Linked DNA regions of Drosophila melanogaster. The protein of the gene in region 1 interacts with the protein of each later gene in a pairwise test. Each region holds a gene or a part of one and is shown in the gene's direction. Other genes may lie near its edges. The genes, in order: Als2, CG15080 and Tpc1.

Region 1 (10,888 bases):
ACACGATGTCCCCACCTTGCTGGACCTGGCTGGGAACTTGGACTCCAATAATAATAGACCTCGAACGGGTGTCAATGCGGGTAAACAGACAATTTTAAGAGATATCTGAAATTTTTACATTTCCAACATTTTTAATGAAAAACGAAATGAAATCGTAGTTATTCAACTTTTCGCCGAATTTAAGGCTATTGCCATTAAAAAGCATTCAACAATGTATCATTACTGAACAGAATAAGTAATTGTTTACGACTACATTATATTATATATATTATTATATATTATTGCTGTTGACGTTAAGAAATTATAAAAAATATATATTTACAGTATTAAGATAGGATAATTTCAATTTCAACGGAATATATAAATAATAATATTATAGATATTTGCGTATTTTATTGGTTTAGTTGTTGCCTGAGCAACACTACTTTCAATCAACTACCAGTCCACGGCACGGGCTGGAGACCCAAAGAAGGTATGGCCCCAAAGAGCATTGGAGCAAGGAGTCCGCAATAATACGACGCTGATCTATTATTCGCTAGATTGTAAAAATGTAAAAATCACGCTTTCGTGTTGTGTATAAATTGAATGCAATTTATAAATGTCCAGAACAGAATTAAATCCCCAGCCGTCGGCACAAGCCACGATCGGGTGATGGTGATTTTTCAAAATAAACAACCTTGAGCCCAAGGGCTCCGCAGCCATATACCTCCATAGCCCATGGCCCCGTGGCTCCATGGCCCCATAGCTCCAGAGATCCAGAGCCGAGAACAATTGCCAAGGCCCAGGGCAACAATAGACGGCAGCAGGCAGAGCCAAAAGGATCCGCCAGATCGGATCCCTGGGAGCCACAGATGAAAAATTGCGCCAATTGAATTTGACCAGCGATTGTTGTCGATTGCTCCTCATCGCGAGCTGGCAGCGGGAGGGGTGTCGAGGATCGGGAATCGGGCAGCCTGGCGTGGGGCCGTGGTAATCCACTGGGCGGTCGCTTAGTTTTCAACGCATTTATCAATACCCAAGTGGATCGCCCTCCTCGTGCGGGTCCCTCCGGATTCCTTTCCAGGCGTTGACAATGCCAAGGGTGTTGTCGGGTACCTACGCCTAATGCATTTCGAACGGAATGGAAAAGAATGCCACCGTCTCTGATTGGAGAATCAATTTGCCACAGCTTAAGTCACCCTGACGAAGACATGTTTCCGCTTCCAAGGCGACTTTCTAAGTGACTGATTGTGAATACAATACAGGAATAACAATTCCCAATGTAAGACGTCCGGAAACGTATATAAACTATAGTGTTATTAAATTCTGAACTCAGTTGCAGGGGTGTATCTTTGTTCTGTGGAACACACACATTACACATTAGGCTGATCCAATACATCAGCAGACTTGTTTGAATCAATCAGTCATAGAGGAAAACTGCATCAGCAAGGTTGAGCTATGAATATCTTTATCTCCTTAATATTGGTAGTGCTGGCCATTTTATCTTTTGCTGACCACACCGTGGTAAGGGTAAATCCGTATATGGAGTATTATGGATCGTACATTTATTTTAAGGCAGACGGAGATCGGCACCTAAATGAGGACTTAAATCGAGCGACGGTAAAGAAGACTAAGTGTATGGATTACATGGATACGAGTAGTATTGGAACATCTATGTTAATAATTATTTCCCCCCAGATGGTTGGCAATGTGCCGGGGTGACGTGCCCCATAAAGTTTACGGCATCTTGTAAGGTAACAAAGGTCCTAAAGCCCTCTGATCTACAGCACACTGAGCTCCTGATTTTGTGCATGGATAAAAACGATAAGCCTATGTGTGGGATAACACGAACTCGAAAAGGGGTAATACAGGAAGTTCTGGACGTGGATGAAAACGGAAATACGATATATGACAAAAAGGAAGTTATTTCGGAGAACGATGGTACTAAAATCCCTAGGTGCCCACGAAAGTAAATGATGTGCACTGATCGACTTCACACAAATATGTTTTATCTACACAAGGTTTTTAACTTTAAATGTTATGGACTATAAAAATAATTACACATTTTTGTGGCAACCAACAATGGTTTATATATCTTGTAGAAAAAATATTGGTATAGTTTGGCAATTAGTATGTATATAGAATTGGTGAAACTAACAGAATGCGTTACACATAAATAAAGATAACGAACACAAAAGACAACAAAATAAATATTTATATAAATTGAACTAAGTTGGATCTGATTGAAAATTAGGCCTATGAGACTAGGCACAAAAACTCAATTCACTAATTGCCCCTTTTAGGAAAACAAAATTTGAGACTAAACAAATAGGTACTAAATAGGAAATTTATAAGTATTTGACTGAAAACTAAATTATGCTCGTCTAAGAGTGCTCGGCCACCGCTCGAAGTTCATCCATGAGGGAGGGCATGGGCTCCACTCTCCTCCGTTCCCGACCAGCAATAATAATCCTGCTTAGCTCCTTCATATCAGACTGGCAGGCGGAAATACCCTCGCCTAATTGGCACAAATTCGGTTGGCATCGCTGACTCCGCTCAATCAGATCGAATATGAAGCTGTTGCGAGGGCGACATGTTTCATTGGCGGTTTGCTGAACGAGCTGTAAATCAATTAAGGAAATGTCAAGAGAAGCCAATCGGAGGGGAACATACTTACCTTCTTGTAGTCATCAATAAGATTAGCCACTTCATGGGCGGGTTCCTGGGGCGTGTTGCTAGCCGTCGATTTGCCCGAGTCCGAGGCCTCAAACCGCGCTCGCTCCATTACCAAAGTGTGCTCCAGACACTGTAAAAAGCAATTAATTGTGTTACAAAGAGTTACTTTAAGGGAGTAAGACATAACATACCTTAATTTTTGACAAAGCTTGCTGATGCCTTCCGCTGATCTCCGCCAGCTTCATTTTAAGCCCAGGAAGCTCTTCAGCCTTTCGATTGTTAACCCTCCCATTTCGCAGTTCCTTTCGAAGAATTTTGGCCAACTGAGGCCAGCTTTTTATATGTGGTAGCCTCCTTCCTGTTTCCATCTCAAGAACGTGACCAAGAGATCGCAAACACTCTACTGCTTTGCGTTCTTCTCGCGCAATTTCCTCCTTCTCATCTAGCAAAGACTTTACCTGGCCTTGCAGCCTTTGCATGTTAATCGACGCAGCGGAGTTTATCTTCAGATTCTCTTGGAATGTTTTCTTCAAAAGCTGTAACTCTAGTCGATTTTCCTCGTCCTGCGCTTGGCTCAATTTCTGGAGCTTTTGCAGTTCATCATTTTGTCCAGCGAACAATTCATTCAGGTGCTCCAATTCAACCGTCTTATGCTGTAGTTCTGATCGCATTTCCTGCTCCAAGCTTTGAGTAGCTTGCAGAGCATCTAACAGTTGTTGCCAGTCTGCTTCCATTTCGTTAGTGCTCTTGATTTTAGCTTCTTGCTGTTGAAGCAGTATTTGGAGCAGCGAAACTGTGTGCAATTTTTGGCTCCTGACATCCGCTAGTTGTTGTTCCAAAGTCTCAATGCGTTGAACTAAAATCGGATCTTCGAGGTCCGTTTGGGTCGCTTGGTTGTGTTTCAACTGCACTTGCCAGCCCTCTGTCTTTTTGATTTGGACATCGATACGGGACTCTGCTTCGGCCAACGCTTTTCTCAGCTCATCACACTGCGCTGCATAATCTTTGAGTTTCTCCATTAGCTCACTTTCCTTTAAGGAACCGTTTTGCTTCATTTTGGCAATCTCGATTTTCTCCAGTTCCAATTGCTGTTTAGTCTTTTGACACAAGGAGCACATTTCGGCATACTGTTTTTGAAGAATGTCCACCTTCTGCTGTAGATTTTTCAAGGTCTTTTGCGCCTCACCTAAATTTTCTTTTAAGCCTTCCTTATCTAGTTGTAACGAAGCCAAAGAAATTGTTAAATTTTCCACCTGCTCCAGTTTTAGAGCATTGCTTTGCCGAAGTTGAGTCTCCTCCAAAAGTTGTGCCTGCAATGCGAACTCCAGTTGCTCAAGCTGACGCTGCTGTTCCTCGCATTGCTCTTTCATGTGAGACATCAGCATCAGCTCGGCCTGAAGCTCGTTAAGAGAATTCTTAAGGCTGGCAATTTCACTCGTTTTTCTGTTGATCTCTTCGTGAAATTTCATGCTATAAGAGTGCATAATTTCCATGCTACTCTCCCGTTTCAGCTTTTGTTGGTAGTACTGTTTCAAATCCAGGAACTCCTGTTCCTTTAGCGCTAACAGATGCTCCTGCGTTTGCAGCGTCTCGTTAAGCTCAGCAATGACTTGGCGCAGCTGATCACGCTCCGCGGTGACACTGCGTAGGGTAGTGCTTCTTAGCTCTAGCTGGTGCTCCATTTGACTTTTAAGGTCAAGTAGTTGCTTGCATTTTCCAGTCACGTGCTTGCTCTCCAGCTCCATGCCGACAACAGTTTGCTGCAACTGCGAAAGTTTTTCATCGTGTTCCAGACTGATCCTCTGGATGTCGTCCAGAAGCATCTTCTTTTGCCTTCGGAGCACGTCGATCAACTGACGCTGATCCCGTAGGCGCGCCTCCTGCTGTTTGGCCTCAAAAGAGGAGTCGTGTGACTCCGAGTCTGCTTTAAACGGCGATGAGCCAGGGGAAAATGGTGAGCCCTGCTCCTGCTGCTTCTCCAGAGTGGCGCATTGTGTGTGCAGGCGGATCGATTCTTGCTGCAGCTTCTGGTTCTCCATCAAATACTTCCGTTCCTGTGCGTACAATCGTTCTAGCGTCTGTAGCCTGCTGTGCTTCTGGGACTTAAGCTCCTGCTTGTACCACTGCTCCGATTTTAAGAGCCTTTGCACCTCACTGCGCGTCCGAAGCAGCTCTTGCCGCACCAGAAAAATCGATTGGTCCGGTTCAGGCTGCGGCGCCGGTTTCTGAGCAGGATCTCCTACTCCATCATCGCTAGTGCAGCTAAAGTGCCCTGAGTCGTCAGCCAAAGCTGTAGCGCCCTCGCAGTCCAAATCCATAACCGAGCTGAAAAAATTTTATTTTAGGAGGGTGAGTTTGTGGCTTAAAACAACTTTTGTGGGCGTATGCAAACCAGCAGTACCACACGGAGGTGTCCACTGAGTCGTACTAGTTGATGTTTCTGAACAATTGTTGACGGTTGTTTTTTTTTACCGTGGGTAACTTTTCCTAATTAACGATAAAACTACATTTTAAGCGAAATAAACAAAACATGCAAAAACTTTTGAGTCGAACAGCTGATGGCAAAAACAATATGACCATATTAAAACAAATTGATGTATCGCAAAAAAATACCAAAATAACTTTTTTGTGTTGACTGGTTCCATGATTATGGCGAATGCAACTAAGGAGTTATTTAAATTTATATAAGAGTTCTAGCTAACTACAATATTGAGTTTACGTATAAGGTATTATGTGTGTTTTCAAAATTGGTTATAAAACAACAATTTGCATGGACCAAATAAATAGTGATAAGCCCAATTTTAGAACGTCACTTTTACCCGAACACCCTTACTTAATAAATTCTCATTGGGACTCGATAGCGCTGGTCACACTAATCCAAAAAACCATCACAAAAACATGAATTCTTATTAGCCAGTTAAGAACAAGTGAAAACAGAATTTATTTTATCGTGGCAGCTAGAGTTGCATTCCGAATCAAGTTATATGATGTTCGTTGGTGCCAGTAGTGCCTAGCGTGGACCGGAGCACGTGCACGATGTGAGAACGACCTGCAGACAAATCGAGCAATTGCGTCGTGTTACAAAGCTTTGGCCCTGTCCAAAACCCCAACAAAAATTTGCACATCATGGCCAGTGCAGCGGATGACTCGGCACTTGGGGGTCAGGAGGAGCGGGAGTCCTTCACCATCTATCATGAAGGCAGGGAGCTACAGCTTCACTGGCGCGGATTGCCGCCCCTGCAGCGGTTTCCCGCATCCCGGATTTGCAGCAATGCCGGCGGGGAACTGCTCCTTCTGACCACTGACCACGCCCTCTACTCCGCCAAGCTGCAGGCCAACCGCGAACACATGGATCTTCAACTCCTGCGTACCGATGTTGTGGATATGGACTTCTGCTCCGGCAGTCAGGAACTATTCGTAGTCCTCACCAATGGCTCTGTGCAGCGCCAAGCCACGGGATCTGGCCGGGATGTGGGTCATCCACATGCGTGGCAAACCCTCGGTTTCGACCCTCTCGAATTGCATGCTGAGGGCGTACGCATCCGACGGGTTTGCTGCTCCGCCCAGGGCGTTGTCTTCGTCGGCGCTAGTGGGGAGACCTATGTCATGGGCAGCTGCGGCGAAGTCTTCAAGGCAGAACAACAGCCTCGGCACATGCGCCTTTACGAAGAGGGCAAGGAACTGTTGGACTTAGCAGCCGGAAACGAGCACTTTGTGATGTTAGTAGCTCCCTACAACCTGGCCGACGATGCACTCCAGCTGTCGGTGGCCAGTGCGAAGGAAGAACCCGAGGATGAACGGGCCTCTGTAAAATCCATAAGCAGTGGCCACTCGGAGCGCAGCGTTGCGGCTAACACAAGGCACCTTCTTCACCAAGGATACGCTCTGCTCCACACCCAACTTTTCACATTCGGAGCCTCCAATAATGGTCTCCTGGGCAGTGGGGATCATATCCGGAGGGCCAATGTGATGCGCTTGCAGAAACTAGACAGCATGGGCGTGTGCAGCATTGCAGCTGGATTAGAGCACACGGTGGCCCGCACTCTGGACGGAAGGCTCTACCACTGGGGCCTGAACAACCACTCTCAGTTGGGTGAAGATGTCAGCTCGCCCATGGAGATCACAATTACGGAAAACACGGCAGCACTACCCATAGAACAAAACTCGGCGCTTGAGGCGACTTGCGGCGACTACCATACACTACTGCTCAATGCCTCGGGTCAAATACATTCCCTTCAACCTGCGCCTCCAATGCGACATCTGCAGCAGTCCAGCACATACGCGCAGACGCTTCTCCAGCTTCAGTTGGGAGCAGCGTGGCCCAGACAACTACGTTTGCTTATGTGTTCTGGCGGATACACACTTCAAAACCAAAGGCAGTTCCAGCGGCAGTATCACTACTATCTGAGTCATCTGCAGTCACAGTTACAACTGCTTCTCAAGCATCGACAGGCAGTCCAAACACTCGAAATCTGGCAAAGACAGTCGGCACTGGAGCCGCTCAGCGCCCTCGGTCCCTTGCTGATCAACTGGGAGAGAATACTGTGCCTGCTAGTGGCCACTTTGCATTCGCTAGAGGGATTCTACCGAGCGGACTTTGTGCAGCCTGCCGACCTGTTGTTTATCTGTCATTACAAAGAGTACATCGATCTGTTTGACGGCTACACAAAGGCCTATTGCGATGTGTTCTCGGTCAATGGATTTGGAGAGGCGGTGGTCGCCATTACTGGACTCAGCAGCCCGCTGGCCGAGCTCAACGAGGAGAGCTACGTCACTCGGTTGTTCCAGCAACCCTTCAGTATCTACCAGCTGTTTGTCCAGTTTATGGAGCTGCTGGTGAGGACGCAATCTGAGTACGGAGAGCATAGGGTGGCCTGGTCGGAGTTCGCGCGGCACAGCTGCATCAGCCAGGAGCTCGCCGTGAATACCAAGGATTTCTGGAGCAGCAACGATAGAAACCCGAGGATTGTGCAGTTCAGAGGACGTCACAGAAGGGTTATTTTGACGTCGGCTTTGGTTCCATTGAAACTAGTCACTTCTGGTATCAGCAGGTCAAGCAACAGTTTCATTCTCTTTTCGGACTTCCTCTGCCAGGTAAGCGGCAACTCGCTGTACTCGTATCCCTTAACTACCCTGTGGGTGTGGACCGAAGGCGACAGCCTGCGCTTGACCACGCCGGAAAAATCCTTTCTGGTAAGCACCCGTTCGCAGGAGATGCGCAAGGTGTGGCTGGACCAGTTGCAATCGAGCATTATAGCGTCCTTGGGCAAACCTCTCGGAAGTCCTGTGCCCAGCTATCGCTCCACGGGGTACGAGTTTAGTCGGGAACACCCAAAGTTCTCCAGGGTGAAAGCGTGCGGTACCTGGAGAAAGGGCGTTCTCCACGGAAATTGCTACCTTGAGTATCCAGACGGAAGTGTATACTGCGGAGAGCTGCAACACGGGATCATTGAAGGTGAGTTATAATTGACCTGGGTGTTATTTAGTTATATAGCTCCTATGTAAATTATCGATGATCATCCAAAACGATAGTTTAGAGATAGAAAAAAGCATTAAAAGAACGTTATTCCTAAGGTTTCGGCAAAATGGTGATTCCGACAACGGGGCTGTATGTAGGTAACTTTAAAGGTGGCCGGTTCCACGGCCACGGTGTTTACGAAATGCACTGTAAGGATTCCCCCGAGAGCGAAGTCTACGAAGGAAATTTTTGCGAGGGCCTGTTTCACGGCCATGGAGTGATGCGGAACAACCGATACATCTACGTGGGCGAGTACCAGGCCAATGCACGCAGTGGATACGGAGTGATAGAGGATCTGGTTAGCGGGGACAAGTACATGGGCATGTTTGCGGATAACAAGCGATCTGGAATCGGCAGCTGCATCACCAACCGCGGCGACTACTTCGAGGGCAGCTTCTCCGGAGACGATCTCACAGGCAGTGGGGTTGCTGTCTTCGAGAACGACTATTACTACGAGGGCGAACTCACGCTCCTCGGCCCAAACGGACGGGGGGAATACTACATGCCCAGTGGAGATGCCTGTGGAGGAAGCGGTGCCATGGGGACCGGGGAGTTCGACGACACTTGCGAGCTTATTGGGAACAAAATGTTTGGACAGCTTAGTGGTACTTGGGACACGGTGCGGATACAGGCCGGTGAACTGGTACTAAATCGGCGCTTTCCTAAGTACCCCAGGTGAGTCAATAAGAACCCACAAACGTACTTCAATGAAAAAATAATATAATGGCTTTACTGCAGCTCCCTTGGGCGCCAAGTGGTAGATCACAATCGCAAGTGGCGATCATTGTTTAACAACTTTGAATCGGACCTTGCCAATTGCACGGCAAGCACTAGCAGCTCTGGAGGCAATCAATCAGCTGGCACCCTCAGAAAATCCTCGAAACCCACTTTGAGCACGGCCCAAATCTGGAACTGCATAGCGGTGTACATGAGCAAACAGCGGGCTCGGGAAGGAACAAAGCCTGGCAACTACTTTAACAACATCCTGCTCAGTCTGCCGCTGCCGCAAAAAACATCATCCCCACTGGCAAAGGCCCGCACCACCACCAGCGCACTGAGCAAGCTGCAAACGGAGGCTGCATCGGCGCTGGACTTCTTGGGATTTCCACCGCGACGAATCCAATCCCAAGAGGCACTGAACAGCAAGCCAGGCGGATTGCAGAGAGCGGATAGCTTAATCTCTATGGGCCACAATACATCTCGTGACTTGGACAACAGTAGTCTGGCTAGTTTCCAATTGGACCAAAGCCTCATGAACAGCACTGTCAACGGCGATGAATCCAGCACGTTCAATGAAAGCTTTTCGAAACTAAGTCACAACAACAATAACAGCATTTCGAAGCACATGAACAACATCGATTGCTCGATAACATCAACAACGTCTACAACGAGTGCAGTGCTGGACCAGGTACCCAGTTTTGGAATGGCTTTGGTGCTTACCGAGCAAGATGTGACCTCCATACGTTTGTACCTGGAGCAGGCTTTTAAGGATCGCCATCACCCGCTGTACGTGCTGAATGAGCGCATTGCCAACTGTTTCCACTACTCATATGGCTATTGGAAAGTTAAACCCACCCCGATTTTGGCCAAGCAAGCCATGAGAGAGTGGGAGTCCATATCGCGTCGCATTTACCGCTTTGTGCGGAAGATGTTTCCAGCGTTGCCCGAGGAACTTTGCCAGATGGAGGGCAGCAGGGAAGTCATATCGCATATTACCCTATTATACCCACTCGTGCTATCAGAGGGCATCTACTCCACTTTGTTTGTGCTGTATGCAAATAAGTACAGTCGAAAGGACGAAATGTATCGGCAGAATCTGAATCTTGCCGAGAAACTAAAGGACCAAGAGCTTGTTGAACTTATGGGTCATGAAAGGTATTCTAAAATGTCTACGCTATTTTATCTTTCTTGTAATTTTCAATTTTGCTTTCAGTTTTCTGCACAATGTAATGTTGGACCCCAAGTTTGTGGAGTCCGTGCAGACGTTAAAGGAACTGCAGGAGAAGTTTAGTCCACAGGACATGTTGACTGTGATACAGCGGAGCACGCAGCTACTAACTGAGGCCTACGAACACGCCATGGCAGGTGAGTCTCAAAGGTCCAGATATCCGTAAATAGTTTCACTAAGCAGTTCCGACTCACAGCTAATGCCGCCCAGCTCAATGCGGACAACATGATACCGCTCACCATGCTCACGATGCTGCGCGCTGCTGTTCCCCACTTGGGTGCGGAGCTGGCCTTATTGGACGATCTGACCGGTGGCCCCAATTTCCAAGCCGAGATGAATGGAATGGCGGGCTACTGCTACACTACACTGAAGGCCGCATATGAGCACGTGACGTCGAGAGCTCTGCAAAAAATCCCCTGAGCGGGCTCAGCTCAAAGATTTCGGGCTCCGTTGCCGAAAAGGCCGACACATGAGGTTTTAGAAAATTAGTTACTTCTTGTTGGCATTGTTAAGTCTCGGTGAATAAGAAACACAAGTGTTGATTTCCCGTAAATAGTCTGTATATACATAGAACGACGAAATTCCCTCATATGATTACGGGTATTGATTCTGTACAGCCGCAATTGATTAGCCCCTAGTACAGCGTAGAAATGTGTATCTATATATTTATGTATGTATTTATCTGTATCTGTTTTGTATATTCTAGGCCAACGCGTTAACATTCCAATTACTCACCAAAGCAAATAAACTATCTACACACACTTGGG
Region 2 (10,888 bases), on another chromosome or scaffold:
CAAATAGGCAACTAGCCACCAGATTTCACCCACCTGTTGGTGTAAGAAATCTAAGGGGATACGGCTGAAACTGCAAAAGTTCTACGTGATCGGACCGCTGTCAGAAGCACACTGCTCCCTGCTGTTGGAAGGTCGCTTATTTTCAGCTCATTCCAGCGGCCGCTCGAGGGTTGTCGGCTACACTAATTAATATTAATTAATTAATACATTGAATTAATATAGTAAAACCATTTCCAAACAAATCTTTATATCTATTAATTATTTATTTATTTATTTGGAAAAGTTCGATATGTTAAACAATAAGTAATAATATTAACTTTTTATATATTTTAAAAATCTTTAAAAAACTTAAATATATATCAATATATATAATATAATAATATAATAAAATATAATATATAATTCTTCTGAAGTCGCGACAACTCTGCTAGATCAAAACAAGTTCTCAACAAGTAGCTCTGCTAGCTATCAACCATATGGTTAGCACATTATACATATATTTTATCTTGAGTTCCAGTGACGCCGGCAAAAGCTTTTCAGCTCTGGTCTTTCCAATGCTTTTATTTGATTTATGTTATATGTGAGCGACACGTGCCGCTGGTTTCGCTTATCAATCTGGGCAAAACTTTCGATTTTATTTACTTTCATTGACCTTCGGCGTATGTGGGGGCTTGTGTGTGTGTTTGACGGGGGGTGTATAGAAATTTGTGGGTGTGTCGGTTTGACGTTGAGTGCCCAGACCAGAGGCTCCAAAACTGTAAGCTTTTACGCTGGTTGTGCAGTTTCAATTCAAGTGAAAATTAAAGTAAAGCATCTAGAACGATTGAATTTATTAAACTTAAAAAACTAAAACATAATTTATCCCTTCGAAGCAATCTTCATTCGATGCCTCTTTCCTCAACTGAATGAATGAATGAAGGGCAACATGCGAATGGCTTCAATTGCGTGAAATATCGTGCATAACTAAATTCACACGAGCAATTTCCAAACTGATGTTTCATTTTACACTCACTTCAAGGGCTTATTTCGCTTCACAAACAGAGATACCAGTGATACCTTAATCTACCATAATTTTATAGCCTAATAACTGAAAAGACCTTAGACCTTGAAAGACCCAACTTAATGGGTAATCATTTTAAGCTGCATTGTAAAAGGTATGACCATTGTAAAAATTAGTTAAAACAAAATTAATTAATTAGTGCTTGTATTTATTCGGTGAACAGGGAAGTACATATACATTTTGTTGTACAATTTGTAAGTGTATCTGAGGATCGTTATTGTATACCCAAGACTTTATAATGTTTTTATTTTTGCAACTTTCTTGCGCTAGGGCTTTGCCAATACTTGATCCCACAATAAACAATTTGATGTTTCGCGATTTTGTTTTCTTGTGCTATTTTTATCACTGCTTTCCGAACCTCAATTGGCGCAGATAGTTTTTTTTTTCGCCCAAATTGTACAATGGTCATAAGGTTTCGATGCTGTTGCTGAAGTTGTTGTTGTTGTTTTTTTTTTAATGTTGGTGCTCGCATAAAAATCGGCATGCATGAAATTGCAACTGCTCGAGCTGCGTTTCGCAAAATCTCGTCCAATTTACGGCCCGCCTGTCGTGGCTCCGATCTTACGCAATCCCACGGACCTCGTTGTCAGCCAACTGAGTTATGCTTATCAAAAGAAAACAGAAACAACTGAAATAAAGTATGTATATTGGCTATATTTTCGACATAACCACTTCTATGAATGATTTTCAGAAATATTATTTGAATAAGGGTGGCAGTAAATAGCCATATCGCAGATGTAACTATGTATAAATGTGTATTGGATATCACCGTTCTCTGTGTTCGCACTGATGATGATGATTTTTTGGTGATTTATCTATGTCAGCGCGTCTGCAGCATCCGTCGATCGCCTAAGTGCATTTCAATTTGGGGAGTGGAGCGGATCGAGATCGCGACAATGGCGCAAAAATCACATCGAATGGGGGACATCGGCTGCCCAGCAGCGCTCGCTTATATAATCGCTTGTCAATTGTCAAAATAGCGGCAAGACCCTTATCTAACGCCATAAAGTGCAATTCAGCGAATGATTAACACGAATATGGGCCGAAACAACAGCAAATACAGGTGAGAGCGCGTCTCTTTGAAACAATTTACAATTTACAAGTAAAAGTGAAAAAAAAATAATATTAAAAAGCCAAAGGCGCCAAAGAAGCCACAAGCGAAGTGAAGCATTAAAGCGCAAAACTACAAGCTTCAAGTGGACCATTTGGGCTTGGCTTTGGAAAATGTTCATGTTCATGGCATTTGTACACACTCTTATGCGTATATCGTACATCAAGTATACGCAGCGGTGTGCCAAGCTCATTAGGCAGACATTATAACATTTCTTCGCTGCGGTCGCACACCAACGTTTGCCGCTACTAATTTCCATGTCAAACATAGGCAGACAGCGAAATTTCACTCATCGTCAACAGCGCGCACCCACAAATCACTAATCACAAAACACAGAAAACAGAAAAGAGCGTGCACTTGAATTGAATCACATTGCGATTGAATTTTATTCGCCCGCAAACATTGCGTTATAAGCAATCATTACAGTGGAGGAGCATAGGAATGTCCTACAGGCGGGAAAAAAATATAATAGATTTTATGTATGTATATATATTTAACGATACAACTTTACATAATTGATTGCTGGGGGTATGTAAGTCCTCATCATTAATTCCCTAATCATAACTTTAAAATAACATTTTGATTTATAGATTTCAAAGTGTTTCTATTCTCCCTCGTGTCTTAAGTTTTCTTATTCATGAACATTCATTTTGTATCTTGTATCTGCGAATCGGACTGTATCTCGCCTGGATCTGGTTTCTTGACCCGTCTTCAGCCGGCTGCACGCAATTTGATGAATGCGACAGGTCGCAACAATCTGCATGCCACCGCGTAGATCCGTGAGTCAGCGAGGAACACATTACCATGTAATTTGCCAGCCAACGGTTGTGACATCGTGAGCGACTACTGACATTTTTCATTCAGCCTGTCTTCGATTTCGTTTCCGGCCAGCACGTAATTGAAATTACATTAAGCCAGAAATTTTGGCAGTGAAATTGCGTTCGATAATCACTTTCATGGGATTTAATTGTTTCCCTGTGCTAGACGTCACTGCTGGACTTTCGCTCTGCTCTGCTCTCGATCGAATGTATGTACGTTCGGACCTACATTAACATGCCAACTGAAGAGACCACTCCAAAACGATATGAAAATGAAAAACTAACTGAAAACACACACACTCACACTCACACACGCCCAATGCGGAAAATTGAAATGCAGTTGGAGTCACTGCAGCAAGTTTGGGAAAGGAAAGTGAAATTATCATCCCCCCGCAGCCACAGCCACAATCCAACTCAACTCAATTCGATTCAATTCATTTTCGATTTCATTCGGCTTGAGTTTTTGAATCGTTTCTAAGGTTCGCGCTTTTTAATACGCCGCATGCATAATTATTATGTGTTCGCATATGTATCTCCGCACTTAGTTACCAATTGCCGACACCCTGGCCTACAGTCTATAGTTTAGTGAAATTGAAAATCATTTTTGAAAGTGGTCAAATTATTCGCTACCCGACAAAACACACATTCCATGCGACCGTTTAGAGCGAATGTGTTTTTCTGTTTGTCGTAATTTTTCATCGCGATGTTGTTTGTGCTTGGGTTATATTTTCCATCTTTTTTGCTTTTTTGGTCACCGTATTACAAAATTTTAATTGCAGTTGGCAGAGTGAACCAAAAAAAAAACAACAATCCAGTTGAGGAAAGAGAAATGCGGAGAATGAATGCTCTTCGAATTGCTTGGGAGCATATGAACTCTGAAATGTATAAAAAAGATTTATTATCCTCAAGAAAAACGGTAATTAATTTATGATCGACAAGCGCAACACTTGAAAATGCACATTACCAATTAAAAGAGACCGTCTAAAAACAAGGAAAACTAAACCCGTACATAATGAGCTGATTAAAACCCCATTGTTCGGACCAATTTCCCGCTGTTTTCACCCACTGATACACTTCTCCCTCCTGATTTGTATCCCCCAATCTCGACCAGCGGCGACATCAACATAAAAACCAACAGCTCGAGCGGCAGATAAATGTTTGGCTAACCCAAATCCACACACAAGGAAGGAAACTAGCGATGCCTCTCGGCTCGAGAGGCTCTCCGCTGGCAATCCAGTTTTCCAGATTTCGACCACATTTTGACCAGCGCACTGCTGCAGTGCATTGCAGCGGGAGCAGGAAGCGTTTTATGGCCAAAAGCACCAAATAGCCAGCATTTTGGGCATCACCCGAGGGGCAGAGCAGCGGCAAAAAGTTGTCTTACTTTCGTGAGCCTAAATGCATTTGGCTCTCGATGCGTCGACGCATCGACAATCCAGCTCTCTCCTTTCGATTGCATAAGTGATATTTATGTCTTCTTGTCAGCGTTGCATCAGCATCAGTTGCGAATCACAAGCGACGGTTTATCTGCACCTGGCCCAAAAGATTCTACGTCTAATTGGTCTGAATTATGCCATAAAAACATGTCCAATTAAGTTGATCTATTTTATGTCGGAGTGTGGGAAATATTCGTGTCGAATTTTATGCAAATCTCGTTACTCTTTTCCGCATACGTCGCGGAAAATGCGCAAAGAGCTTGGGAAAAGCCATTCATAAACAGGGGCCTGAAGGTCGCGATCTGTTACCTTTGCCATTTGGCAGCGCCACCTTGGGCGTGTGAGCCATTTCAGTGAGACACCTGTGAAAAGGTCAACGCTAATTGCCGTCCCCCAACCATTGGCTGCCAATTGAATTCGATTGAATTTGATTCTCTATCTGCGAGGCAGGTGAAAGTGCTTTGTTCTAGAAACAGAGTTGCAAGCCAACTAAATAACATTCAGCGGAAGTTCAAGACGCGAGTCGCGGTTGAATGATCTCCGAACGCCAAGAGATCCCGTCACATAACTTAGGCCATGAGGTGGAAACCTTCCTCGTACGTCATCAGTCCGCACATAACTCACGCCCACCTGAGGCGGCAGGTGAGGCACACGGACAGACAGGTGGGCAGGCGTTATGACAAGTTGACTGATTGGATTTGCGGCGACGATGTTGCTGCTCCTGTCAATGCACTCATCGCCCGTCGCAATTGCCGCTGGAAAATTGAAATTGAAAAAAAAATGCGATTGAAAAGCGTCCGAGCATCTCGTTTGGGTTACCCAATGCATAATGGATAATGGCGGACGCTGAACGATATGCTAATTAACTTGATTTCCACGATCCATAAACGTCTCACTTAGACAATTGTTTGCTTAACGGAAATTGTGCGGCTGCCGGCATGAGAATATTTTAATTGCCCCAAAAGAAGTTGAAAAAGACCTCTTTTTAAGGCCAATTCTAGCAGACCAAAGAAATATTTGGCAACAAGCTGAGCACAAAAATGTATTTTAAACACCAAAATATTATCTGGAAAATATTATAAAAAGATTTAAATATTTATTTCTACCTGCGCTACTTGATTGCAAACATTTCAACCACATATTTAATCCCAATTTCGCACTTTTTGTTATTATAGGTTTTATAAAGTTTGTAACCAATTTGTAACAAAAGAAATGCGGCAAAGGCCAGCGAAGAAAAAATGGTTTCTACGCGTTTTAATTGCTAAATGTCAATCGGTTTATAGGTTTCCTAACAAAACAAACAAAAATACGAGGAAACGCGTACGAGAGAAGAAAAAAAAACCAAAACAAACAATTCAATTAAACTCATAATGGAATTTGTGTAGCAAGAAAACGACCTTGGCTGCAGAGCAAAGCCTAAAAAGCCAATTAAAAGCTAGATGCACGGCTCGAATGCCACATGGCACTGAGTCAGAATTATGGAATTGTTGTTATGTCTGGCCATATAGCCGCACATATACACATATATCACATATATCAGCGAGGGGTGTAGCACGATTCATAAGACCCCCACACAGTCGGATCGATTTTCCCAGCAAATGTGGTAAAAACTTGTCGCCAGCAAAGATTGCAAAACTGGAACAGCATCGCCGCAACTAACGCTAAAACAAGTTAGCATTTATGGCCGACTTGATTTGCATTTAGTGCATTCTTGTGGACACTCCCCCTTGGCAAAACTCTATCCCCATCCCCGTTTTGTTAATTTCAATTAACCACAACAAATCATTGGAGGATCATTTTTAGCTAGGAGCTATACCGCTCTGTTTGACCAAGTCTTTTGTTGGCCCAAAAGCTGTTAAAGCCGCTTTAGTTGCGCCGTTAACGCTGACTGCGACTGCGCTGCCTACTGATCTGCTAACTGCTCGGCCAGCGTCGACTTCGACGGAGGCAGTTGGATGAAAACCACGAGCGAACCACTCTTACTTACTTTGGCCCGCGACGCTTTTCATTTCTTCAGTCTGTTAACGGCACGCCAACGATGCAGACGCGTCTAAAAACCAGCTCCGGCTAACTGTTAACGCAAGATAGTAATAACTTGATTTGTAAGTGTAACACTCATACGCATCGAGTATACGCACAGTGGTACCAACGACATTTGATTTTGCATCTTTTGCCGAAAGTGCGTGAGCTTCCTGACGTCTCAAGTGGATAAAGTCAAAGTGAATTTCAAGAAATCGAAAATATAATTAATATACAAAAATAAAAGTAAAACGCTTGAATTGCTGCTAATTTGGCGAGTTGGGCAAGTTAGGATCTTAATTAAATTAAGCCAAGTGAAAGAGAAACAACAGCTGCCGTTCAGGAAGAAGAAGAAGAAGCAATAGAGGAGAGTGGTAAGTGGGGTTTTTATTTTTTATTTATTTTATTTTTTTTTTTTTTTTGCCAAAAAAGGCGAATAGAAATTTCAGCTCTCCATTCAACTAACCACACACTCAACGCATTCGACTGTCTTGGCAATTTTGCTGTTTATTTTTTCATGCTCTAATTATTTGGAAATTTCATTTTGTTTTTGCCCACCGACACTCGTTAACTGGCATGCAATTTGTTTGCCCAAAGACTTATGGACCATACATCTAACCAAAACAACCGTCCATCCTCTAGAGAGTCAAGTTGAGTCAAGCTTTATGGGCAGACTTCCTCGTTAAAAGATAAGGTGGCCAGACCCCTGACCAAAAGAAAAGAAACTGGTCCATCAGTATTCTGTGGGTTCGTTTTGGGTTTTTCATCTACATCTCTAAGTCTATCTCCATTGCCACTTCATTAACCCAATTTTCACCTGGAGAAATTTTATGTTTCGTACAAGAAAAATCTTGTTTATCAGGCCAATTTGCATACAGACCCCACTTCCGAGGGCCAGACATTTCTCTTCCCTAATCTTCGATGTGGCATCTGATCTTTAACGGAACTAATGTGTACACTTATTCGTTTGTTTGTCATTTTAACATGAGGGCAAACAGAAGAGGGAAATCATAAATTACGCCGTAGCGTCTTATTCGTTTTATATATGTATTTCTTTATTTATATTTATGCGAACTTTGTTTTTTTTTTTATGTGCGAGCGGACAGCGTTTTCGAAATTAAATACTTTCTAATTACAATAAACGCAGGCGATGGCCGCCGGCCGGCCAATTGCCTGTCGCACGTCCAGCAAAGTCCATATCGTAGCCTTTGGCAACGGGCTGAAATCACGTAGCCGCCGCATCGGCCAATGCCAGCCGATATAAAAGAGGGATGGGTTGGCAGCGGAGTGGTGAGGGGGGAAGTGGCGAAACAAAACTCGCGAAAGTGTCAAGAAAATATAATACTGCTCAGACTCACTTTTTCTTTATTGTCATGTCTTAATGTGGCGCCTGATGTGTTTATTTGCCACTAGCCTCCTCCGCCGCCAATTCATATTCCTACCCCTCCCTCACCTTCCTCCGATGAAAGTGAAACGTGCGAATGACTTTGCGTAGCTGCAGAAGCTTCCATCACTCGTCACTTAGCACGTGCCCAGCGATCCTACCCGTGTGGTCTTCGTCTTTCACGGCTTTCAATTACTCAACCGCATAATGTTCAATTTGTCAAGCGTTGAGCCCGGATTACGACTTTCTCAGCGGGCCAAACAAAAGACTTAAGACACAAACTTGCTTCATTAGTTGGCTTTGTTCGATGGAATGCGTTGCAGATCCTAATGCGCACAAGTTTTGGTGTTGATTACTCACGAATTGAGAAATCAATGCAACCATACCTTTGTTTATATTACAACTTAAATTATCCCAGATGATTTAGCCATACCAAAGAGAATTTCAATTTCAAAGATCAATATCGAATATGCCCAGCGGTCTTTCAAAACCATAATTATCTCGCACTAGTGACACGCACTGAATTCTAAATGTGAGTAATTGCAATGCATTCAGCAATATCAGATTCAAAGTGCATTTAAGCGGAGGTAAAAACTAAAAAATCAATTCAAATGGCTTCCAGGCCGGGCATTTATTGCTGGTTCGCTGGAACTAAATCGTGATTTGCAGTTGCATGTACGGCCTCCGTAAGACCCCCTGATCCTCCTTCGGCACCCCTGGAATACCCACACAGTTGATTAGTCAGCACCCGGCTGGTAGAGCAAGGCAACCATTTGGGGCTTTTTGCTCCGTTTTGTCTCTGTGTTTTCCTTCTAGACCGACAAGTTGAAGTATCTTGGCCTACTGAATTTTTTCTCACACTCCGTGTCTTGGTCACGGATGTGGATTGATTGCTAATGTTCATCTGGGCACATATATATCTGTATATATGTATATATATCTATCTGCGGCAGGCGGTTTATGTGGATACCCTCGCCAAGTTGCCGAGTTGCACAAGTCTGGTTTGGTCTGGGCCAGAATGAGGCCCACACTCGAGACGTGGCCAACAAGTACGGGTACTTGTGGCTATACATTTGCCGAGCCACTCTTGCTTTCTTCAGCTGCTCCATTTGGCGGCTGCTTTGTTTTGTCAGCGCTTGCTTTATGGTTTTTCATATATATAGAGTAGCTACTAGCAGCTACCTTAAGTATTGCTCTGTTGCAATTGTCACATTGTTTTGGGACACTTTTCTGCGGCTCAGTGGCGACGACGACTGTGGCAATAGTTTTGTAATTAGCTTGGCCCATCATTTGCGCAATTCGATTTGCGATGTCCCAGGTGATAAGTGATATTTAAGGCACTAATTTCGCTTGTATCCGGTTATCCGGCTTTTATTACGAGTTGCGCAACCACAGCGCCCCCGCATACCAAAATGTCGAGGGAGAAATACTTTCGCTTTCAAATGCTCGAGCATAAATTCTTGGGATTACGCAAGCTAAATGCTTGCGGCATGTTTTGGTTTGCTGAGCAGGTGCCGCCAATACCAAACCAAAACCAAAAAGCCACCTCCACCAGCTAAACAGCCACTTACCTCATTTGGAAAGCAGCGAGAAATGAAAGTTTTTGTTTTTTCATTTTTCTGCGTTGCGTGAAATTTACATTTCGTTTAATAATTTCAAACATTTCTTCGAGGTCGCTGTGGCATAAAATTTGAGGAATTAGTCGAACAAGAAATCAGCGTTTTTCCGTCCGTTTTCCTTCTGGTATCGAGTGGCTCTTTCCGGCAGGCCTGGCTAGCAACGCCCCCTAGCAATAGCAGCCATCAGACAGAAAAGTGCATTTCATTGTCGCTTTCGTTTCGGATTTGTATTTCTCTGCATTTTCTGTTTGGCGACGAGTTCATTGGCTTTGCATAATTTATGCGTTCGGCGGCCCAGCAGCAAAAACAATATGCATGCAGTATATGGTGGCCATCAATCCTAGACTTATCGTTAGCCAGTCACGCTAATTGGCCATAACTGTAACTGAAAGATCAGCGATTTCAGCACCCGAGCGATACAATCAGTCAATATTTAATGTGCGAGTTGTGCAAGTTTTTTGGCGGACAGTTGGCACAGTTTCAATTGATTTGCCAATAGTGATTCACATGGGTCACGCACATTCTTGGTTTTTTGCGCTCTAGTAAACCAGCTGCAGATCCGCAGGCGTTTCCAAAAAAAAAAAAAAATAGAAGAAAAATCCCCCTTAAAGTAGGTGTGTTTTTTTGCGTTTTATGTTTGGCCAACTAAGCGTGGCCGACACTGCAGCCTGCAGATGCAATTAAATCCAGATAGATAGCTCTAGAAACCGAGATACAAACGTGTCTGCCTGCTGGTGGCATTGCCACACCGAAAATAACACATCTTGTAATCCCAAGCATTTGCATCCCTTTTAATTACTCGTCCGCCTGCCAACTAATGATATATTGTTTCGTTTTTTCTTTGCAGTTACCTCGACGATCTTTGGGCCAAGTTAGTTAGCTGTCGACTGCTGCCGCTGTTTATGGTAAGTCTACAATGGAGCCGGAGTGACCTTGTCGCCTCCCCCGCGGATTAGATCGTGTGGTGTGGTGTATCAGGGTGTGGACACAGGTAATCCAATTAAATCACACCCAAATGATCAGCAAAGCGATGAAACAATGTCAATGCCAGGAGGAGGCATACACCATAATCCCTTCATGTTCTGCAGAGCAGATCTAAGCGGCTTAACTCTAAAGCTTGTTTACATCCGGCTCTGTGGCTTTTGGCCACTTACCAAAACGATTAATCCGAGAGACAACCACAGACACGCCCCCGTCAGCGAGGAAAGTCCGCTTCGATTCCAAAATGGATGTGTGTGTGTGTGCTCCGAAATGAAAGGGAAATTTTAAATTTCGAGTTACCTGGAGCCCAGACATTTCGCCTTTTCCGAGGGCATTGTCACATTTCACTTTCGATGATCACTGTAGATTTCAAGTGCAGTCCGCCTCTTTGGAAATAACAAAAACAAAAAAAAAACCCACTGAGGTGTGACGTTGTTTGCTTTGTTGAACCTTTTGATAA
Region 3 (10,888 bases), on another chromosome or scaffold:
ACAATACGCAGTTAATGCCACAGTTTGTGTTTCTTTTAGGCTCATGAACAGCACCAGGAGCGATGAGGAACGCAAGGCCAAGATCAAGAGCTATCTAAAAGAAGGAGGAAAAGAGTCACCACCTCCCCCGCCACCAATGAAAAAAACAGCAGTCTCATCTAGAAAGTCAAGCTTTGACAATGTGGGACCCAGCACATCGCGTCATGCGGCCTCCGTTGTTGGCTTTGGAGGCGCCCAGCCACCACCAGCGCCCAAGTTTCTGGGGCAAAAGAAACATCCGGAGCCGGCACCCAAGCTCTCCTTTCAGATTAAGAAACGACCGCTGCAGATGGACAAGCTGGGAATGCTGCGTCTAGCAGCGCCAGCGGAGCCACTCAAGGGAGGACGGAGCAGCAGCTCCCGCAGCCGGAGTAGGAGTAGAAGCCGCTCGCGAAGTCGCTCACGTAATCGTCGGCTTGGAAGGAGCACGCGTTCGTCGCTCAGGAGCCGGCGTTCTGGCTCGAGGTCCAGATCGATTAGCCGATCACGGTCGCGTCGCCGACGTACCTACTCCCGTTCGCGCAGCCCCTCGCCACGCAGTTACGGAAATCGCTTTGTGATTGGACGCTACCGTAATCGCCGAACTCGGCGTTCGCGCTCCTTTCATCGTCGGCGTTCTCCATCGCCCATTTTGAAACGCCGATCGCCTTCACCATTTGTGCCCCGTCGCACACCATCGCCGGCATCCCGCTATCGACGCAGCCGATCCCGCAGTCGCTCCCGCTCACGCAGTCGGAGTCCTCGACGCTTTCAGTCTCGCTACATGCCGAGGGATCGTGGCTCCGTGAATCGAAGCAGGTACTCCTGGCACAATCCCCATAAACGCAGTGTATCACGCACCGTGGAGCCAAATGGCAAAGATGAAAGGGCAGCTACTCCGCCGAAAAAGGGTGTTGCTGATGATAGATCTGGACGAGAAGAAAGGGCGTAAACAGGGCCTCGCCTACGAGTCTTAAGTTTCCTTTTAGCTGATAGGGTACATTTGATTTGATATTCAAATTTGTAAAACGCTCCCTTTGGGAATTGTTCATTGGTCACTAAATAAAGAAGCTTGCGAAGCGAATTTATTACAAACTATAACAATCAATCGATTATTGGTTCTTTTCAGACAACACGTAGCGTAAAGTAAAATCAGGAAATTGTCGGTATTTAAAATTTGAATATAGCGTACAAACATATAAAAATGTAAGTATATGAATCGCATATCTATGCAAAATTAATCAATGTTAGGATAAGTACTTCAAAACTAAACACAATAGTTTGTCATTTTTGTATTTCAGATATCAGATTCTGATTTTGCACATGGAATGAACTGAAAGTCCAACGCGTAGTGAGAGTGTAAGAGAGCCCCAATAGAGAGCGCAATATCCCGGAGAGTGTATCCCCCGCCGTGCCCCTTATCAACACTTCACGCTGCACTTTCGCAGTGAGAGACGGAGAGTAAGAGAAAAAGTGGTTAAAGAGGGGACGAACACCCGGCTGTTAGTGTTAGTTGGGGCTCCTAAGAGAGAGCTAAAGCGAGAGAGACAAGTCTGGAAGCTAAACAACAAGCACCAAGCAAACACGAAAGATAACGACTTGTTTCATTTGATATTCGCCAGCCGGCAGAAGCGGAACAAACAAAAAAAAAGAAAAAACAAACTTCGGACGCCGCAGCTGCGGACACGAAATTAGAATACTTACGGCGACAAGTTATCGCACAAATTAGTACGCGAACGAGAATTGCTACCGAGATACGTCGGCGGACACCCGAAATTTTTCCCAAAAACCAAGGTGCCGTGTAAGTGTGAAAGGAGGTGGTTTTTACCAGCTGCTAATTTATATAACTATGAAAGCCAGTAAAAGTGCAAGGCCGCGTGCAGTGCAGAAATGCAGAATTGCAGAAAAACAACACAACACGCGCGACATTAACACTAAACACGTACATATATACATGTCTACATATATTCTCTATAATTTTCCGTGCGGACTTTGGACGATAAGCGGGGCGACAACAATATCTGGTTATACATGAAGACAAAGAACATAAGGCTGAAAAGCCACGCTTGTCTCTTCTGTTTGTTGTTTTTGCTGGTGGCGCTCTTTTAAGTGTTTGCGCTACACTTGTTACCAAGCGGCATGTTGGTTCACGAGCACAAAAGCTGACAAGTGATTTAGTGTTATATTTACCCACTCTTTATTGCCGTGTTCGCTCACAAATTGAATGGAATCATTGGTTGGATTCCCGTGATTAGTCACACATAAAACACATAAGCTTTAGCGAAAACTATGACCTTCATCACCTCTGTATCAAACAATTGTGGCGTGCTTGATAGTCTTATCGCCCATAAAAGTAGTCGAGTATGGTCAACTGAAATAATTTTGGTTTTACTGCCAAGATTATATGTTATTGACCCTAAATCAAAATATAAAAACAGATCCTATATTAAATAGATAAACCGAATTTTTTTATCATATCATATTAAATTTAACCATGTATCAATTCAATTTTTTGTCTTGCAGCTCAAGGAGAGGTTGAAGAACTAGAGCTTAGACATGTTTACGAAAATCTTTCGCGCTGTGATAATCGGAGCCCCCGGCTCGGGCAAAGGAACTATTTCGGAATTGATCTGCAAGAACCATGGATGTGTGCACATCTCCACGGGGGACATTCTGCGCCAGAACATCATAAAAAACACAGAACTTGGAAAAAAGGCCAAGCAGTACATTGCTGAAGGTAAACTGGTGCCCGACGCGATTGTGACCAAGACGATGCTGGCCCGGATAACCGAGGTAGGCAACAGGTCGTACATCCTAGACGGATTCCCGCGCAATATAGCCCAGGCCGAGGCACTGGCTGCACGCGAGCAAATCGATGCCGTGATCACGCTGGACGTTCCACATAGTGTGATTATCGACCGGGTCAAGAATCGCTGGATCCATGCGCCCTCCGGCAGGGTGTACAATATTGGCTTCAAGAATCCCAAAGTGCCTGGCAAAGATGATGTGACGGGGGAGCCGCTGATGCAACGCGAAGATGATAAACCCCATGTGGTGGCCAAGCGACTGGAGCTCTACGATGAGGTGATGAGCCCGGTAATAGCCTGGTACGAAAAGAAGGGTCTGGTTGCCACTTTCAAGGGAAAACAGACAAAGGAGATCTGGCCGATGATGGAGCTTTTCCTCAACGACCGCATAAATGCGTAATGGAGCAACCCCGAAATTACATCCAATGTGCACAAACTAACGATAAACTGCTGTGTTCAATTAAGTGCATAATATATTTAGATATATATAAATGAATACGTATGAAATATGTATGTTTGTGGGCCGGTTAAGAGGAACAGGCGTATAATTAATGTAATTGCGAAGCCTTACACAGTAGCAGCTGTCATGTATTCCTTCTTCCACAGATATCATTCCCCTCATGAGCATGTCTTGCAGCTCCCCCCTTTTTTGTATAAACATATTTTTGTACTCGTATTCTGTGCTCTGATAATAAATCGCGTTTTTTATATATATAAATATATATATATATGCGCTGATAACAGCCGACTTTGACTTTTGGGCAGTTAACGGACAGCCGTCGATCTATTTTTAGGCAATGTCCACAAACCCTTGGCCCCATGCGTGAAGCCAACACTTTTAGCTTCACCTCATGACACCCAAATGCCCTTCATTTTATCGCGTAGCGCATTAATTTCTAAAAAATATGGGATAGTGTGGCGCTCCCGTTTAGTCTCGCGCTCTCTTACTCACACATGCACGGACCAGCTGCTGTTCTCACGCACACCTGTATAGTGGCAAATCACAACAGAGAGGCGCTTGTACAGTCAAGGGCGCCCAATTATGTCAGATTTAAAATTCTTTAAGTCATTTATAAAAAATTCAATAAACCACTTATTGTTTTAAAGGTATACTTCATAATAAAATGGAGATAGCTGTTTGCCTTTTAAACACTATACTTCGGAATATACCATTACTGGGAATCTTATTTCTGGATAATTAAAAAAAAAAACCTATATAAACCCCTTTGTGGCCACCACTGTGCTGCGAGCGCCCTCTCACCTCTCTCTCATTTAGACCCGACTTGCGCTTGGCCCAATATTACGGCTTTTTCGGCACGCCAACTGAGTGTGCCTCTCTTCGCACATGCCCCCACCGTCTACACTCCCCTCTCGCGCGATGCGTTTGGGTTGGCATTTCCTGAAACAAATGCCAGTACTCAAGAATCGTGAAGAACGAAAAGAAATTCAATTGCAATTGCAACGGGCGGCAATTGAAAGCTTATCGATGAATGAAAGGCGAGCGCCGAAGGCAATTAGAGGAATTTGCGAGCAAGAATCTCGAAATTGCGGTGAAGCGGAGGGGGAGGAAGCCCCATAAAATGGCCGCTGTGCTTTGTTAACTGATGGAGTTCTTTGTTTATGCGAATGGGGCCGCAACGAAAGTCCAGCTGACCATCGGGCGGACAATGGATTGCAAACCGCTGACAAAACAGAAAAAAGCACATTTCTATTTGTGGAGTACATGATGGGTTGTGCAGAAAACCATCTTTGTTAATATTAGATTACTATATCTAAGCTAAATCTTTTCGGTAATACGATCTATATGTACACATGTAAACAATACCCAGAATCATAAACTAAGAGCCTAACGTTAAATGTAGGGTTTTGAAACACTTTCTCTGCGTGTCTACAGCTGAGTCATGGATGATGCAAGCCGAGCTTTGAGATGTGCATTCCAGGAAGCGGCAAGTTATGCTCGACTGGCACTTACCGCGTATTTTGGTGCGCTTGTTGACGTTCATCCAGATCTCGCCGCGAATTATGTCGCCCGCAAAGTAAACCCGATCCGCGCTGTCCAGCGTGATTCGCAGCCGCTCGCTTTCCATTCCGCTGGCGTTGATGGTGATGACTCCTCCGGTTTGGCCACTTTCCTCACGCACTTATCCAAAAATAATTTCGTCATCAAAATGCCGCCACATACAAACGTACATGGATGCACTGCAGCACCACGGCCCGCACCACCCTAAAGTATATGCAGAATAGTAGCACCACCACACGCACTCGCCTCACGATTTACGATTTGATGTTACTACACACACCGCGCGGTGAGTGGGAGCTTTTTCGCGCTGATTGTGGCCAGTTCTTGGGGAATCTCGATATCCATCAATTCGCAATGGCCCACAAGTGTTGGTCGCACACCCCGGGCTAATTTAATTCGATTGCTGTCGTCCGCTGGCGGGTTGAATAATTAAATTTCTTATAAATTTACGAGATCCGTGAGTTACGCTTTTTTGTTGTAGCTGCAGCTCTCTTTCGATAACCGTGAGAGCGGCGGTCCGATAGCACGAACAGCTGTTGCGCGGTGCTGCCACCGGGCGCCTGGCCAGCTGAAGCGGTTAATTCGCAGACTTTTTAATCGGTATTTTCAAATGTGTCTAATTTAAAGTTTAAGTTCTAAACAGCGTTTCTTAAATGCACTGTTTTCAGTTGTAATGCAAGAGTTCAGAAATGCTTGGTAGTAATGGTCTTTTTTTATGGTTTGATGTTTGAAAAGAGAAGAAGAAACTCTCTGTTTGAATATCGCCAATAATTTAAGTTGATATATTTCACTACGAATAATAATTACCAAATATTTTACTGTATAGATAACAAAACGCTCAGCTTAGATGTCAGCGATGATTGAAGCATACATACATATTTTATTAAGATTAAACTTTAGTTGGCTTAGCAGCATAATGCTCCATATAGTATTTCGTGTGCTTCCCCGTTCTGTCCTTCGCTTCTTCTTCTTGTAACCTCTCGCGCACAAAAGTTTGCTTCTCGGTTCTTCGGTCTCACCAAAGACTTTTGAGAATTCAGTATTAAGCCAGAGCTGCTCGCGTTCGGAGCTTGCGAGCTGAGTCGCCGGAACCCTCGAATACATCGAATCCCTACCTCTTCCACCAACTATCAATAAAACAAACAAAGGAACTTGATAGCGCGATACCACCCGACACCGTCGCCAAGGAGCCAATTCTGGACAGGATGAGCAGCAAGGTGAACTTCGTCTTCGACAGCAATCCTTTGGGGCTCTATCAAGCCGGTCAGCTTATCTCCGGCACGGCGGAACTGATTACGGAGCGCCCCAAGACGATTCGATGTAAGTGACACCGACATGCGGAAGAAGACGCACTACATACATATGTATTCTAATGGACTCGAAACCATGACGTCATCCCCCTCCATCACCATTCAAATTCTGAATCCCATACCGTTTTACCATCCACTAATAAATAAATATCCACTTAATATTGTTGGTGCTTTGTTATCCGCTGGTTTAATGTTATTGTTGCCGGTAGATATGCTTGAAAGATGTGTATTGTATATACAAATGTACATATATGTATGTATACATAAAGTTTATATACAACACACATGTGGCCGCTTGGCTGGCTGGCGGATATCTGATAGCGGCGTAAAAACTAGTTTTGTTTTGAAATTGCGTACGCTGTTTGTATTATTAGATATTTGATTCAGTTACTGGTCAGCCCGTTCGTGCCAATACCTTTAAATTGTAGTGTATAGGTAGCATTTTGGGTCAATTAGGCGTAATTCATGCAGATATACATATATATATAAATTTATACAAATCCCATTAGCAAGCTAAGTGGACCCTAGCCATCGGTTCAAATTCAAATAATCAAATATTTCCTAGGGTATCAAATAGTCGAGCCTTAGCAGCGCTTTAATTTGATGGTGAACTTTATTAGGTAGCATTCGTTTTTTTTATGCTTCTGATTAAATTATTGTTAGTTCATTAACAAAGACAGTTGTTTGTAGCTGAGCAATTTTCCAATACAATTCTACATCCGAAACACACAAAAGGTCCAAGGTCAATGGCAATTAAACTAAATGCATAATTGAATTACATACCCGGCAGTACAGACAAATTAATCCAATTGCAGCGATCTTTATAACCATAAATGGATACGGCGAGACGCGTTGGCAGGAAAGCGAGGAGCGAGTGGGAGAGGATGGGAAGACGACCAAGTCCCTGGTGACCCACACCACCACCGAGGTCTACTACAGCACTGACCAGCCGGTTTACGGCCAGGCCGGTGGCTCGCAGCTGGAGTTGCCCACCGGCAAGTACGTCTTTCCCTTCCGGGCTACCATTCCGCCCAATGCACCCACCTCATTCAATGGTGCTCATGGTCAGATTAAGCACGAGGTTACCCTAACCATCGATCGCGCGGTTCGCTACAACAACACATTTAAGCAGTGCTTCACGGTGATCCTGCCACATGATCTTAATAGGCGGCTCGAGTATAAGGTATGTAGTCTTGGTTGTTCTTCCAAACTGAATAACCTTATGAAGCGCACTTCCCTTAGGAACCCCTCCAACGCTTGGAGTCGAAGAGCTTCTGGTGGGGCTCCATTTTCGGTGCCCACAAGCCGATGATCATGGACGTGAGCACCTCTTATTCTGCCTACGTCCCCGGCCAGAAGATTCATTTCCATCTGGTGTTGGACAACCAGTCGGATGTCCAATGTATGGACGTGAAGGTGCGTCTGATCAAGAACGTCTCATATAGAGCCAACTCATCGGGCGCAAAGGAGCAGTTGAAGGTAACCGAATCTCGGGTGGCGGACAAGCACTGCGGTGAGGTGCTGAAGCACAACAAGGCCAAGTTCGATGAGTTCCTCACGGTGCCGCCAACTACTCCATCCACGCAAAGCGAAAAGGATCCCATTCGAGTTAGCTACACATTGCGATTCATCGCCAAGACCTTCAAGCTGCACGGTGGTGGCGACTTGGTCATGGACTTTCCAATAACCATTGGCACAGTGCCGCTGCTGGGAAGTGCTGATGACAAGGGGCCCGGGGCGGAGAAGTCCCAGCCCAGTGGTGCCTCTCATCCAGGTGGGTTTTGCACTAAAGAAAGCATAATCGAAAGTGTTATTAATCGACGTTTCTCCGGCTTAGGCTCACCCAACTTTCAGGAGGACGTCAGCGATGAGCAATTCGAGTCCAACACCTTTAAGCCAAGATATCCCGTCTATCCATTTGATGGGAAGCCTGGAACCAATGGCTCAAACGGGGCAGCTAATTTTCCCAGTCTTTATCCCAAGGCAGAGGAGGCGCATCCTGCTACGCCTGTGAAATTCACACCAAATCCTGTGTCGCCAGCCGCACAAAAATCGCCACCATATACGACCAACACACCTGTTGCTTCTCCGCCAGGCGGTAATTTTGAGGTGCTTGGATTCAGTATACCACCAGACTATAAACCCACGCCTAGTGCTCCAGCCGCCTCTTCCACTGGCGGCATTGGGTGGAAATAGGGACCATAACTTAACCATTTTGTATTCTACACCTTAAGGCATTTTTAAATATACAAGAAAGCCCGCATAAGTGGCAACGCTGTGCATGTGACAGCTATATTAATATCGATAGTTAGTATCATTTTAATCCTAAATGGCCTTTTATTAACTCGAGTATAAACATAGTGATCTGGTTTCAGGAATTATGCTTACTATTAAAAAATATTTATGTTCCCAATTAAGAAAACCCTAAAACTGAATTTTAGCTTCTAGCTATTTTCTTACTATTGTTGTCAACCACGATAGCCGATAGTTGCCATCGCTGTTCGCTAAAAGCTCATCGCCAGCGGCTCGAACAGCTGATTCCGTGCACTTGGCGACGTAATTTAGTTTGTTTTGTTGTTGTTGCGTAGAGGTTTGAAGCAGCGCGTCTTGAATTCGGAAAACCAGTTTGTGGAAGTGGGAAGCGGCCAACTTGGACAGCGGCAGCAGGGGATTGACACAACTGCAACGGCATCTCAACGGCGGCGCTATTACAAGTCTGGCGAAAAGAAAGTTTTGACGCAATCCACGGGCCGCCGCCTGTAATGAAGAAGCGTCGGCGCCGCAGTCACTGCTGCACTCTGCCCGCGAACGGACGCATCTGCTCCAGGTGAGCTCAGATTGTAGTGCGCTGCTCTGGACATTCAGCAACATCATCATCATCACCATCGAGCGTGTTGCCAATGCCTTTGTCTCTTTATCTGAGCAGCAGCATCGGAATTTTGGGAACTGGACAACGGTCGCCGAGACATCGAACAACAAAAGCGGAAAAAAGTGAAATCGCTGATAAACCCGAATACCAACCGAGCTATTGTCAATCAATGAACGGCCGTTTGAACCTGGAGTCAACTTGGGAGCTCTGCGAATTGGCGGGCAATTGGCCATAACCGACCGAGATAATAGTGAAGTAATCGCAGAGACATACGCACGCTCCGTGGAGCATGATACTTGTAAGTCTCATCCTCAGATGAATTCCACTCCTACTATTTCCCAATTCCTGTCTACGCACTTGTACACAACAATTTGTCCATCGACTTTGATGAATGTGTGTAAACAAGTCGAAGTTTGCGCCCTGCCGCACCTCTAAAACGTTTTGAATGAAAGCTACAGGCAAGCTTTGCTAAGTCGGATTTTCGAAAACTCCATCTTTGATACCAGTAAAACCTAGCATATTTCATTTTTATCAAGAAACAATCTTAAGCTTTCTTTTTAACAGCATCTACCTTGAATTTCACAAGAGTCAAGTAAATTACAAGTAACCTTCAAAACAAATTCTTTATGATAATATATAAGCTATACCTATTAGATCCAGCCTCATAGAAGTTGCTAAGTCCGAGTTAATAGTTGCATCTACATAGTTCCGACTGTAATAACGTCTCCACCTGTCTGCGTTTCTTTATTTTCAGAAATGCCATTGAAAAGTTGGCAGTCGCAGCAATAAAAGTGAAATCCGCACGAGCAAACATACGCACACGAAAAGCAAAACCAAAGGTAGCTCCGACGCAGACATGGCGGTAACCACAGGCTCCACCAGTGAGGCGACCACAACCACAACTCCCGTTCCGCGACGCAAGCACAGTACGCGGGAGCAGCTGCATCAAATGCTGGCCGGTGGACTTTCGGCGGCCATTACGCGCTCCACCTGCCAGCCGCTGGACGTGCTAAAGATCCGCTTCCAGCTGCAGGTGGAGCCGCTGGGCAAGAACGCCGCCAAGGAGGGACCAGGAGCCCTTACCTCCAAATACACATCCATCGGACAGGCGGTGAAAACCATATACCGCGAGGAGGGAATGTTGGCCTTCTGGAAGGGACACAATCCTGCCCAAGTGCTGAGCATAATGTACGGCATTTGTCAGTTCTGGACGTACGAGCAGCTCAGCCTGATGGCCAAACAGACCAGCTATCTGGCGGATCATCAGCATCTATCGAACTTCCTGTGCGGCGCTGCGGCCGGAGGAGCAGCAGTGATCATATCCACGCCGCTGGACGTCATCCGCACTCGTCTGATTGCCCAGGACACCAGCAAGGGATACAGGAATGCAACAAGGGCTGTGTCGGCGATTGTCCGCCAGGAGGGACCTCGCGGCATGTACCGCGGTCTGTCCTCCGCCCTGCTGCAAATAACGCCGCTGATGGGCACCAACTTTATGGCTTACCGCCTGTTCAGCGACTGGGCGTGTGCCTTCTTGGAGGTGAGCGATCGCAGCCAATTGCCCACGTGGACGCTGCTGGGATTGGGCGCCTCCTCGGGCATGCTATCCAAGACGATCGTGTATCCCTTCGATTTGATCAAAAAGCGACTGCAAATCCAGGGCTTCGAGTCGAATCGCCAGACCTTCGGACAGACACTGCAGTGCCACGGAGTCTGGGACTGTTTGCGGCTGACCGTGCGCCAAGAGGGCGTTAGGGGCTTGTACAAGGGCGTGGCCCCCACACTCCTTAAGTCAAGCATGACGACGGCCCTGTACTTCAGCATTTACGATAAGCTCAAGCAGGTGCGCTTCTAGGTCGGACTT

Evidence for each region.
Region 2: the proteins of Als2 (region 1) and CG15080 interact in a two-hybrid assay, tested with the Drosophila melanogaster proteins (one large-scale study listed by BioGRID).
Region 3: the proteins of Als2 (region 1) and Tpc1 interact in a two-hybrid assay, tested with the Drosophila melanogaster proteins (one large-scale study listed by BioGRID).

What each region holds. Positions count from the first base shown.
Region 1 is NT_037436.4:21,674,392-21,685,279, reverse strand, and holds Als2 (amyotrophic lateral sclerosis 2), read left to right. Parts: upstream 1-5,524; 5' UTR 5,525-5,781; coding exon 5,782-8,110; intron 8,111-8,229; coding exon 8,230-8,848; intron 8,849-8,911; coding exon 8,912-10,048; intron 10,049-10,106; coding exon 10,107-10,258; intron 10,259-10,317; coding exon 10,318-10,541; 3' UTR 10,542-10,886; downstream 10,887-10,888. Other genes in the region: Sfp78E (seminal fluid protein 78E), read left to right, coding at 1,438-1,615, 1,678-1,952; CG11248 (uncharacterized protein), read right to left, coding at 2,364-2,600, 2,657-2,785, 2,847-4,973. UniProt on the Drosophila melanogaster protein: Has guanine nucleotide exchange factor (GEF) activity towards Rab5. Promotes the exchange of GDP to GTP, converting inactive GDP-bound Rab5 into its active GTP-bound form.
Region 2 is NT_033778.4:18,776,861-18,787,748, forward strand, and holds the start of CG15080 (uncharacterized protein), read left to right. Parts: upstream 1-6,438; 5' UTR 6,439-6,818; intron 6,819-10,294; 5' UTR 10,295-10,352; intron 10,353-10,888.
Region 3 is NT_033777.3:10,879,997-10,890,884, reverse strand, and holds the start of Tpc1 (thiamine pyrophosphate carrier protein 1), read left to right. Parts: upstream 1-8,696; 5' UTR 8,697-9,322; intron 9,323-9,778; 5' UTR 9,779-9,880; coding exon 9,881-10,879; 3' UTR 10,880-10,888. Other genes in the region: CG6621 (uncharacterized protein), read left to right, coding at 40-970; Ak3 (adenylate kinase 3), read left to right, coding at 2,575-3,225; leash, read right to left, coding at 4,798-4,912; CG14696 (uncharacterized protein), read left to right, coding at 6,051-6,165, 6,971-7,338, 7,398-7,929, 7,993-8,351.